2 linked regions of the Oryza sativa Japonica Group genome follow. The main gene of each other region encodes a partner of the protein of the gene in region 2 in a complex. Links are inferred from orthologs where the notes say so. Each region holds a gene or a part of one and is shown on either strand. Other genes may lie near its edges.

Region 1 (5,822 bases), on a different chromosome or scaffold from region 2:
CATAGGAATTTCATAGGATTTGGAAAGCTTCAATCCTTTGAATCAAAGGGCCAAATATGAAAATTTCCTATAAGATTTGAATCATATAAAATTCCTACATAAATCCTTTGATTCAAAGGGGCCCTAATATGAATCAGATGAATATCGGTTTGTCTAGTTCATATTATATTTCCCCTGGAGGGACAGAATGTTTCGGTAACATGGTCGCTAACGTAATGCAGTTATGATGGATACTTGCAGTTGCATCTAAGCAATGTTCGATTGTTAAGGGGCAAAAAGTACTTAGCTCTCCATGCCGTTGCTTGTACAGTGATTACTAGCTGCAAGATGGCGACCATTTATTTACTCTTGCTAAATTCAGTGTCATGTGGTGGTTGGCTCGTGCTACTACTTACCCCATACCGTCTTCTGAAATGCTAGTACATATGCTCTATTGGGTCTTGATTTTTTTTTCTTTTCTCCTGCCTAAGATAAGCAAGTGAAAAATACAACGAAGTATTACCAAGCAATGAAAAATAGGCCAACGATACACAAGGCTTTGTTGCCCACGTTGAGTTTAGGGGGTGTTTAGATAGGAATGTAAAGTTTTGGCGTGTCACATTGGATATTATATAGGGTGTCGCATGGGGTGTTTGGGCACTAATAAAAAAACTAATTATAGAATCCACCAGTAAACCGCGAGACGAATTTATTAAGCATATTTAATCTGTCATTAGTAGATGTTTACTGTAACACCACATTGTCAAATCGTGGAGCAATTATACTTAAAATATTCGTCTTGCAAATTAGTCGCAATCTGTGCAATTAGTTATTTTTTTAGCCTATATTTAATACTTCATGCAGATGTTTGAGTGTTCGATGTGATAGGGTGTAAAATTTTAGGGTGGAATCTAAACAGGCCCTTAGTGTGGTATGCAATACCTGAAATGACTCCCAACACAGCTATCACAGTGGCAATTGTCACTCTCGTACTCCCTCTGAGGCCTGGTTTAGTTCCCAAAATTTTTTTTCCTAAAAATATCACATTGAATGTTCGGACACATGCATGGAGCATTAAATGTAGACAAAAGAAAAAACTACTCCGTAATTGCACAGTTTGCATAGAAATCACGAGACGAATCTTTTAAGCCTAATTGCGTCATGATTTGACAATGTAGTGCTACAGTAAACATTTACTAATGACGGATTAATTAGGCTTAATAAATTCGTCTCGTGGTTTCCAGGCAGAATCTGTAATTTGTTTTATTATTAGACAACGTTTAATACTTTAAATGTGTATCTGTATATCCGATGTGACTCCCCAAAACAAAAATTTTTACCTACTAAACCGGCCATGAGATTTGATTCTTTTTGATTCATATATTACTGACATGTCTCGTTGTTTCGCCTACGTCAGGAACTTCCGTCATGACATGTGAGCCCAATGTGTCAGCAACATTAGCAACGATAGAGATGGGACTAAGCGAAAGTAAGTGTATTCCAATGTTAGGGTGATCTCGAAGTTGCAGTTTCGTGATAATTTTGTGTGCAATCACAACAATTTGAAATACTAGTTAGCTAATGTTGTAGTCACTAAATTTACTAAATTTACAGTTTTCTAAAAAAAATATCCTTTATTCTCTCCCTTTTCTTTTAAGTCTAGATAAGCTCTCTCTTTACATGAAAGTTTGGATGCATGTCTACAGAAAATTTAGATCGTGAAGGATCAGGAGCAATCACTGGCACACTGCTCTCTAACACACACACACAAAAATTCAGAACAACATAACAGAGTTTAAATAAAAGAAGAAGAAAAAAAAGAAAAGAGGAGAAAAGCGACAGGAGGAGAGTAACCACAAAGAGGAGAGCAACAGCGGCAGGGCCGGCACGCAGCCGAAAAGCCAGAAAGGGGGGAGATATCAGACAGAGGAAGGAGGAGGGCGGACATGGAGGCGGCGATGGATCTGATGCGGCGGATGCCGCCGGGGAGGGCGGAGACGGCGCTGAACGCGCTGCTCTCCCTCATCCCCGACCACTCCCTCGACCTCCTCTCCCAGGTCGACCTCCCGCTCCAGGTGCCTATATCTTCCTCTTATCGCATCGCGTCACAACTACCTACCTCCAGTTTCTTGGTTATGGGATGTTCTTCTTGTTACTCGAAAAGATTCACAGATAGAGAGATGGAAGTAGGTGTCTTAATCATTGCTCGCGAGAATGGCCCGGTGTGTTTCTACAAGAAACGGGCGTTTCTTTGCCTTTGTGTGGAGAGCCGGTCCAGCCGAATTGAATTGAATCGCTCTGCTCCAATGTACCCTTTAGGTGCTCGAACCAGAATCCGCGCGACCCGATCGCAAATTTTGTAGCTATGGATGCCTTTCGTCTCATTTTGTGTGCGTCTCTCTCTTTCCTCTTTGCGCTGCCACGTTCTTTTCCTAATAGAAATGGTGCAAGAATTGCAGGTTTGCATGGACAAGGAGAGCGTGAAGGAATACATCCTATGCGAGTACAACCGTGACGCTGACTCCTACAGGTCAGCGATCCGTCGATACGCTCACGGTTTCTGTTATAGTTATCTCTTCTTTGTGAGTGTTGCGAAAAGCATCCACCTTATGAATACCGAAAGCTTCAAGCAGTATCAAAGAACGCGGAGGCAGGCACACAGGATAATCAATTGTTCAGGAATGCAGCTTAGTGATAGTTGCAGCTATACCTGTACTCGCTCTACAAATTGACTAACAAGCAAATGCATCAATCGAGAAAACCAATGCAAAGACCTGCAAACGCTTTCATTTAATTATGATTCTCATCACCACGGACACTTAAGTTGGGGGGGGGGGGGATGTTAACTGTTGGGCAGTCTGTATTGTAGCTCCCGATTTGTTGATTGTGGGGATGGCTTGCAGGTCTCCTTGGTCAAACAAATACGATCCTCCTTTGGAAGATGGAACAGTTCCCTCCGAAGAGATGAGGAATCTTGAAGTTGAGGCAAATGATGTTTTCTCTGTCTACCGTGACCAGTAAGATTCATACTCTCTTTGATTCAGTAATGCTAAGCACCAGCATGGAATAATGTTATTGCTTGCACTTGCGTTATTTCTCAATTTAGCATACAGGTGATTATATCTGCTATGTGCATGTAAAGTAAGTAGTACAATTTCCTATTGACAAATAGGTATTACGAAGGTGGCATCTCTTCTGTGTATATTTGGGAGGATGAAGATGAGAGTTTTATTGCATGCTTCTTAATAAAGAAAGGTCTGTAGGAACACTCGATGAGATCTCGTTTATTTGACCAGATAATCTGAAATTCTTTAACTAGTATTCCTGTTATGTGGCTGCAGATGGAGAAGGAAAAAGAGGGCACATGCAGATTGGTTCATGGGATGCTATTCATGTCATTCAGGTGGCTTAAGACAAAACTGTTCATGCAGTCGCTGATTATTTTACTGGTAGTTTCTGGCTATGTTGTTTTGTAGTACTCATTGAAAATTTATGTAACTTTAACAGGTTGGTCCTGAAGAAGAAGGAGCAGCGCATTACTGCTTGAACAGCACTGTGATGCTATCATTGACAACAGATAACAAGCAATCTGGAACTTTCAACTTGTCGGGATCAATCAGGCGGCAGGTAACATCTCCCTTCCTGTCTTATCCGCCTTTTTGTCATATTAAGTTGCCCTTAGTTCAAGGGCATCTTTCATCCCTGTTTTCCACAGTTATTGATGTGTATTACTACCTCAGTACTTTGTAGAACCCAGACTTTGTGCATAAATAAAACAATTTGAACCATCAATATAGCTTTACACATGTACCTCTATAGTGTATCAGTAGTCTTAAGACATGTCGTTCTGGATGTAAAGCAACTTTGCTCTCACAATTTTAGACCCTTGCATGGTCACAAGGCTACAATTCGGCCACAAATTTCTATCATAATATCAAAAATCACAGAAGATACTTTTTTTTTTAGATACAGAAGATACATATTATGAATGAGTACTTGACAATAAAGCTAGCGATAACAATTTAATTTTATGGGGCCAAACTGAAGTGTAAACACCTTTCCGTGCAATGGTGATCAAACATAAAAATGTTTGATTGGCTCACATTTTGGGATCACCTACGCAAGGAGTAAGAAATAGATGAATTCTTCAAAAGTGTTCTGGAGAATTAAACTTACAAGTTAATTGCAAACTTAGAAAGCCTAGAAAGACAAGCAACACTTATTTTTTGAAAGACAAGCAACACTTATAAAGACATAACTTATCAATTTGCAGATTTCTTGTGGCACAATCATTGAATCAGTAACATAATAAAAAAATTCGTTCTTAAGACACTTCTTTTTATTAGGAGACTCTGCTAAGCTGTGGAAAATCCAAGCAACCTAATCCTGAACCACCTGTTCTCTTTTCAGATGAGTATGACTCTTGCTGTGGCAGATGGGCACCTGGTTAATATGGGAAAAATGATAGAAGAAATGGAGGGCAAGCTCAGAAATTCGTTGGACCAGGTAACAGTTTCACATCACACGTCAAAGAAAGAACAGTTTCACATTTAAGTTGTTTCTTTAGTGTGAGATTAATTGCGTAGATGTATTTTTCTTAATGCTTTGTATCTCTATGATGGCAGGTTTATTTTGGGAAGACCAGAGAGATGGTTTGCACGCTTCGGCCACCACCCGAAGTATTAAACAGGAGGCTACCTGACAGCTGAGAAAACGCAGAGATGTGAATTTTTAACACAAGAACTATATATTAGTCTTGCAATCATCTCCTTAGCGACCTAGAGTCTCTTTTCGTAATTGATCTGTATTTAATAGTAGCAGTCTCTAAAATGGACACCACTTTGAGCCATCATAGGAGTGTCTTCTCCATTGAATTGTGAGGAAACTGGGCAAAGCTTCTTCATGGCAGCTGTAACAGAGAGTTTAAGCAAAAGGGAGCAGGAGTTTGCATTTGCCGAACTCGTTGTCACTGCCCCTGAGAGCAATATTCTGTCATCTTTGTGAAGATCTACATCTTCTTGTGACCTTACAATTTGTTAAATCAATGCAAGAATATGGTTATCTGCTTACATGATCATCAATAGTTTTGAGATTTTTGAATTCCCTAGAAAACAAATTGTCAGTGATCTCCATGATTAGTTGTATAACATGTAGATCAGGCAGTAACAATATGGATTGAGCAAGCTGGATACTTCAGTTTATTTTTACAGTCACGAACAATTATGCAAGTTCCAAAGTACAAGGCAAATGGAACATGCCACCAAACCGCTATGAGTAAAAGTATGAAACACAGAATGGCTGGATAGCTTTGCAATGGTTGATGCAAATATGGCGATTCACATAACAGAACAGTGTGCAATGCACAAAGTTTTTTAACAAAATGGAGCTACTAAACCATAACTACTACTTTACTTTAGTGGCAGTGATCCACTCTCCAGAGTTTACACCAAAAAAATCTTAAGACCTGGCAGCGTCACAAACAAGTCAAGCATAGCGTTCTAAAACTCTCAGGTATTTCACGGCTTCGCTTCACCAGCAGCTTCCTGTTCCCCGCTCCCCTCTGCCTTAATGTCTTCATCATCTGCAGATTGCAGAAGCATAAAGTTAGTTCGGTAATTGCCTCTCGGCGAATTCACTAAGTTGAATATACAGAGTTCTTGTTATGAGAAATTAAGATCCCTGGAAAGTTCAGTTTACTATGCTCATGTTGGCTAAATCAGATCAGATGTTTCACAAGAGTTTTACATAACATTGGTTAACTAGTCTAGTTTGAAATGGTATTGCATAGACAAAATGGTACGTTGACTGACCCAGACTATAACAACAATTCATTGAATCAACTG
Region 2 (6,004 bases):
GGAACAGGGCTATTACCCATCAAGTAGTGGGTCCGAACCTATATAAAAATCCATGTCTAATGTCTTTTTTACCTCAATCTCACGTATACCCTAACACCAACGATCACCATTCTCTTTGAATACCATAGGCGGGCATAGTCTGTCAGCAATAACTTGTATGTAACTAACAAATAATGGCGGGTATCCGATTTGCTAGCAGCTTTGCACTGAAAAATCTCAAGGTCGTGCGCTTGAATCCTCTTGCCTGCGCAATAAATCTAGCAAAAACCATTTGATAAACCTGGCTAACATGCATAAATTGCATATGATGTATCTAATACATTTTGTTTTATTTTCCACATATTCGTTTTGGAGGAATTTTAAAAAATTTAAATTTCTAAAGATTAATTCCTATAAATGCTGTTCGGTTCATAAAAATGTTGACATAGAAAAACCAAAAGAAAAATTCCTTTCCTACAAGTTGTACAGAAAAACTATAGGAAGGTTTTCATCCACTCAAACCTCTTGAAAATTTTCTATGGGTTGAAGTGTGCATACATTGTTGATCTTTTTTTTTCTCCAATTCCTTTGGAACGACTTGGCCCTTGCTAGCCAAGTCACTTTGACACCTTGACCCGATTCAAACAAGGGTTAATTGGATACATGCCATTAAAAATTTGCTGGTTTTAAAATATACCACTAGTATTCATGTATTTGAAAATATGCCATTGTAATTTCACACATATTCAAAAGATACCACTACTTACCTCTTGGATGCATTTCCAGAAAAAAAATAGACCAAACTGCCCCTTTTCCCTTCTTCTTTCTTCCCCTTTCTCCTTCCTCCTCTCTTCCTTCTCAGCGGCGCGTTGGCGGCAGCAGCAGCAGATGCGGCGCGGCGACGACAGCAGCAGCAGTAGCAGCATCGATGCGGTGGTGCGGCGACGAGCGGCGGCAGCAGCAGCGGCGTGGCACAGCAGCAGTGGCGGCCGCGGCGGCAGCAGCTGCAACAAAAGGCGGCACGGCGACGAGTGGTGGCAGTAGCAGTAGCAACATCGACGCGGCGGCGCGGCGACGAGCGGTGGTAGCAGCAACAGCGGAACCAGTTGGCCATGGCGCTCTCGGCGTTCGGCAGCGTCGCCGCGGGGCTCGTGGCAGTGCCGGTCACTGTGTTCGGCACTGGCATCGACGAAGCCGTGCTCGCCAAATCATTCAAGACCGATGTGCCCACAATCCAGAAGCTCAAGGTGAACCTGAGTACCTGACTCCACCCAACAAGCCCTAATTAAGCACGCTTGCTAATCTTCTCTCGCCATTGTCGAGTGGCTGCAGTAGTAGGGCCACGGCGGCAGCAATGAGCTGTAGCGACGGTGAGCGGCGGCATCGCGAGCAGCATTAGGAGTGGTGGGGATGGAATGAGCGGCGCAGCGAGGGGAAAGAGTTGAGGGGTAGAAAATGGGGAAGAGAGAGAGGTAGAAGATGAGAGCATTTTCATTCAATACATGCAAAATACGTATCTCAGTGACACCACTAAGATTTCAAACAAGTAGCAGTGGTATCGTTACAAATATAGACAAATAGTAATGTTATATTTCAAAACTGCTAAAATTTTAATGGCATGGATCTAATTAACCCTTCAAACAATGCCCCTTTTCCCAACCCCTTTCTCTCGTTTTCCGCGCGCATGTTTTTCAAACTGTTAAACGGTGCATTTTTTTAAAAAAAAGTTTCTATACGAAAGTAGCTTAAAAAATAAATTAATCTTTTTTTAAAAAAAATTAGCTAATACTTAATAAATCACACGTTAGGCCATGTTTAGTTCCAAAATAATTCTTCAAAGTTCCAACTTTTTCATCACATTAAAACTTTCCTACACACATAAACTTCTAACTTTTATGTCATATGGTTCCAATTTCAACCAAACTACCAATTTTGGTGTGAACTAAACACGGTTATTGCCCCGTTTTCCAGGCTCAAGCAGAACCAGCGAACACACCGTCCTTTTCTTACAGAAAAAGCCTGCAAAACTGCAACAAAGTAGTCCTCCAACTCCAATCCATTAATCTCAACCGCATGTAAAAGCACATTCAAAGGTCAAAATATGACAGGTTGCTTTACATCACGTCAGTTTAGCCTTTAATTTAACGTTATCTGTTCTTCCATTCCCATTAATCCGCCATCAATATGGAGCTTTTCGTTAATCAACTCCAAAGCTACCATCTCGTCCGTCCGATCGGTACGGCGATCATCGTCCACCACTAGATCGATCAGTGAGGCAGAGACCTCTCAATCTCTCGCGTCCCTCTCGCTCTCTTCCCGCTATTCTTCTCGTCCAGATCTGGACGTCGGAGCACCGCCCACCGCTCGTCCCCACCGCGGCCGGTGCCTCGCCGGCGGCCGGCTCGCCCGCACTGCCTCTAGGTCGTAGGAGCACTGCCAGCTCGCCAGTGCGGCCGAAGAGCGGCACGCACTGCCCCCTCGCTTCTCCCCTCCTGCCCTCTCCGCGCACCCGACATCGCCGCCCCCCACCCACCACAGCCTCCACGGCCGCCCAAATGTCGGACGGTGAGGAGAAGAGGGAGATCGCCGTCTGGTTCCTCTCCAACGCCCCCGCCGGCGAGATCCACTACGTCGCCAAAGGCAATCCCCCCAACCCCTCTTCCTGACCCTCGCAATCCAAGCTGTACAGCCCCGTGTGTTTCGTTGTTTGATTCCTCTTCGGCGTGGGCGCGCAGATGTGCGAGCGCTGCTGGGGGACGAGGCGGTGTACGAGGCCGCCGCGGCGGAGGCCTTCCCGGAGCACAACAAGGCGCACCTCGTGGCCCTCGAGCTCCCTGACCGCAGCGGTGATGTGAGCACTGGGCCATCTCCTCTCCTTGCCGACTTTTGCCGTCGCGTGTTCTCACGTGCTCGAAATTGAGTGTGTTCTATCTACTGTAGGGTTGTGCTTGTTGTAGCTCGTAAATCAGCGGTTAAGACTTAGCAAATCTGGCTTTTAGGTAGTGATTAATAAATCACTTGTGGCTATTGTGTTTGTTACTTTACTTTTATTAAATTCAGTAAGCTATTGGTGTTTCTCATTGGTATGTTTATGAGCATGAGACTATAGGATGATGCCTTAACACTCGAGGGTGGGTGCTTGCTGGCCAGACATTAAAACAATGTGTCCTCGCGCGCAGATAATTATCACAACTTATGGGGAGCTTGACAAGAACAATTATCTGGATCCTAGGACTGCTCAAGTTGCTACAGTGGACCATATTAAACAGGTAATGCTGCAGACTTTACATCTGCTTATCCTGGATTTAGTTCTTAAGCCAGCTATGCATATTTAACATAGAATCTTTTAAAGTAAGAGAACATATATAACTACTAAACAATGGATGGTCATCTTAACTTATGGTCTATGAACTATATGAAGCAGTTTCACGTCTGTAATTTAATATGCACAGTATCTTGAGCTTGATGGTTTGACTATTCTTATTCATTTGATGAATATTAATTGAGAAATGGATCCAATCACAGGATATTGATACTGAACTATCTTTCTTGAAGAACATGTTACATTGAATATAGTCCACATAGATTAGTATTGTAACTGAACTCTGCATGTAAAAGTTTGATCCCACAAGTTTCTACTTTTTTTATTTACAGTGTTAACTGAGGAATAAATTATGACCATAATTATGAATTTTCTGGACATAGATTAAGTTACCTATTTTCAATGGAATAGCATAGATGTAGGTAAAAGAGCTTTTCATTATACCTCAAATAGTACATCCAGCAGCAGCTGTATTAAGCTTCAGTAACTAGTATTACAGGTTTCTGCCCAATCCATTTTGTATTAACTTGTGTTACCTCTAGACAATGGCTTTCATTCTCTAACACCGGGTTAGATTGAGATGTTTGGTTAAGTATTTGTTTTTGAAATGTCTATAGTTTTCTTTGTTCATTTGAAACATGATGTGTCTGCTTTAATTTAAGTCACCATGTTTTTTGTTTTACATGTTAAAAGAAATGTACAAAATTGAGGCCAGCTGCTGATGAGGAGCTTCCTTCAGCATACATTGAAGATTTCAGGTACCATAATTATGCTATTCTTTTCCCCAAATTTCTTGAACTCCACATTGCCTTGCTAGTCAATTTATGTTCTGCACCTTTTGTTATGGGTGCAGGAGTGCCCTGGATGTTGAATTATCCAAATATGTTGGTGAAGCTTATCCAAAAGGGGTGTGTGCTGTTTATTGTACCAGCGGAAAAGATATAGAGGGACCAGGAGTTGATTTTCGTTTTGCAGCAGTTATTTCTGCTGCTAAACGCAGCCCACAAAACTTTTGGTATGTTGTCTGAGTCTGCATTTTCTCTGTTGTTACAGATACTTGCCTAGTTTTCTCTAATCTTGAACTTGTTTATATGTCCATTTTGTGTATCTCTTCTATACATTTTAGATCCTTATTGAGGTTTCTAGAAAATTTTGGCATTCCTATGAGAAGCTATTTCATATTCAACTTCTGGATCATAGGTTTGCACATCTGTGAGTGTTTAATTCTTTATTTTCCCTTTGAACTAATCATGTGTTTTGTGGGTACCCTCTTTATCATCTTCCCACAATATTATGGTGTCTTTAGTTTTTATGCAGAAAAGTTTAGAATTGTGCTTTGGCTGAATCCTTGCTTCACATAATCTGTTACTAGAGTCGCTTAAGTCCTCTCGTCATAGTTTGACATTTCATTATTTATTCACTGATGGAGACAACTTTGTATTGAGTCATCCAGCAACGGCAATTGGCGCTCAATTTGGACTCTGGAATTCATAGATGGATTACAGCTTGTCGAAATTAAAGGGAAAATACAGGTTTGCTTTTACTTAGCTAGCGCTAAAACATGGTTAATTATTGTTATTGTAATTGAAGTTGGTAACTAAGATACATGTGCATATACCAGGTAGGTGCTCATTATTTTGAAGAGGGAAATGTGCAGCTGGATACTAACATCGATTGCAAGGATTCCACCATATTGCAGGTTAGTTCATACAATACCTATTTTTTTTATCCTGGCATGTTATGAACGATTGATGGCATCTGCTTCTTTTGACCTCGTGCAGTAATCCACACACTATTTCATCGTTTGTTGTTTTGCTGCTTTAGGTTTACGTGCTAAGTTCATTCTACTGTTCAATATATTTTGGAGAAAATTTTCTCCTGCTTTGGTATGATTTGCTACTGAGTTTTAGAGAATTATATATACATGTATACCCTGTAAACTTAGTTGCGCATGCATAAGTATGTGCTCTGCATTCATGGATGAAGTACAGTTTATGTTACTGATAGATTTTCATAGAACCTTAAAAAATTTATATCTGCACTATGCTTAATTGTGTTGGGTTGGTGCCTGATACTTTGAGTTGTTGTCGATATTCTATTGATGCAAACTGTTAAAACAAACAAAGTTGAAATTTTATTTATCCTTTTTATTTCCTGGGGTGAACTGAAAGGATCAACTTATGATTGAGTAGATTTTTTAATATAAAAATTGCACGGGTAAATTTTGCCCCTATTTCATTTCCTTTTTGGTTCTGGAGTTTTTGCATGTGCTTGTCCGGAGCATTTGTGTATGTTAAGCGTAATGTTTTGTTTAGAGCTGCATTATGCTTGCATCATTTTGCTTGCTTTGTTTTTGCTTGTTTTTAATCTTCACCAGGCTGAAAAATGCGAAACCCTTAACTGTTCTTTTCATGTGCTATTACTCGTGTTTCAGTCTCCTGAGGAATGTGCAGTATCAATAACTAACATCATTCGGCATCATGAGTCAGAATATTTGTCATCACTTGAGGTTGAAACCTGTCCCTATTTGTTTATTCAAGCTTATATGTTAACATAATGAGTAATGCCATTCTTTTCACTTGTGAACAGGAATCATACATGAATTTGTCTGATGCAACCTTCAAGGTACACCAAGGAGGCAGTAACAATTTAAGAATTTGCATGATAGTTATAATGCTAGTAAATTTTGTTGCTACTTTTACC

What was found. Proteins that work in one complex are often made in the same cells at the same time.
Region 1: the proteins of F-actin-capping protein subunit alpha (region 2) and probable F-actin-capping protein subunit beta are in contact, whole or in part, in a crystal structure (PDB 4AKR), measured with the Dictyostelium discoideum proteins. The link is inferred for Oryza sativa Japonica Group from reciprocal best matches to the Arabidopsis thaliana genes CPA and CPB. Residues at the interface, in XP_645243.1 of Dictyostelium discoideum: Leu7, Ile10, Phe14, Asn17, Pro19, Glu22, Glu25, Val26, Asp29, Val30, Ala32, Leu33, Leu34, Tyr125, Asn127, Glu128, Tyr129, Tyr130, Pro131, Thr154, Cys155, Ile156, Tyr157, Tyr163, Ser164, Gly165, Arg166, Trp167, Val190, Asn191; in XP_647630.1 of Dictyostelium discoideum: Lys4, Gln5, Cys8, Cys9, Asp11, Leu12, Met13, Arg14, Arg15, Leu16, Pro17, Pro18, Gln20, Asn24, Gly27, Leu28, Asp30, Leu31, Val32, Ile103, Phe104, Ile106, Tyr107, Leu110, Tyr111, Phe112, Glu113, Lys136, Thr137, Gln138.

The regions. Positions count from the first base shown.
Region 1 is NC_089037.1:15,465,033-15,470,854, forward strand, and holds probable F-actin-capping protein subunit beta, read left to right. Parts: upstream 1-1,866; 5' UTR 1,867-1,925; coding exon 1,926-2,054; intron 2,055-2,438; coding exon 2,439-2,509; intron 2,510-2,882; coding exon 2,883-2,996; intron 2,997-3,151; coding exon 3,152-3,234; intron 3,235-3,320; coding exon 3,321-3,382; intron 3,383-3,486; coding exon 3,487-3,606; intron 3,607-4,389; coding exon 4,390-4,485; intron 4,486-4,604; coding exon 4,605-4,688; 3' UTR 4,689-5,048; downstream 5,049-5,822. Other genes in the region: co-chaperone protein p23-1, read right to left, coding at 5,496-5,560. UniProt on the Arabidopsis thaliana protein: F-actin-capping proteins bind in a Ca(2+)-independent manner to the fast growing ends of actin filaments (barbed end) thereby blocking the exchange of subunits at these ends.
Region 2 is NC_089041.1:13,229,893-13,235,896, reverse strand, and holds the start of F-actin-capping protein subunit alpha, read left to right. Parts: upstream 1-2,297; 5' UTR 2,298-2,534; coding exon 2,535-2,619; intron 2,620-2,714; coding exon 2,715-2,830; intron 2,831-3,158; coding exon 3,159-3,248; intron 3,249-3,994; coding exon 3,995-4,059; intron 4,060-4,154; coding exon 4,155-4,316; intron 4,317-4,754; coding exon 4,755-4,833; intron 4,834-4,922; coding exon 4,923-5,000; intron 5,001-5,735; coding exon 5,736-5,810; intron 5,811-5,890; coding exon 5,891-5,926; intron 5,927-6,004. UniProt on the Arabidopsis thaliana protein: F-actin-capping proteins bind in a Ca(2+)-independent manner to the fast growing ends of actin filaments (barbed end) thereby blocking the exchange of subunits at these ends.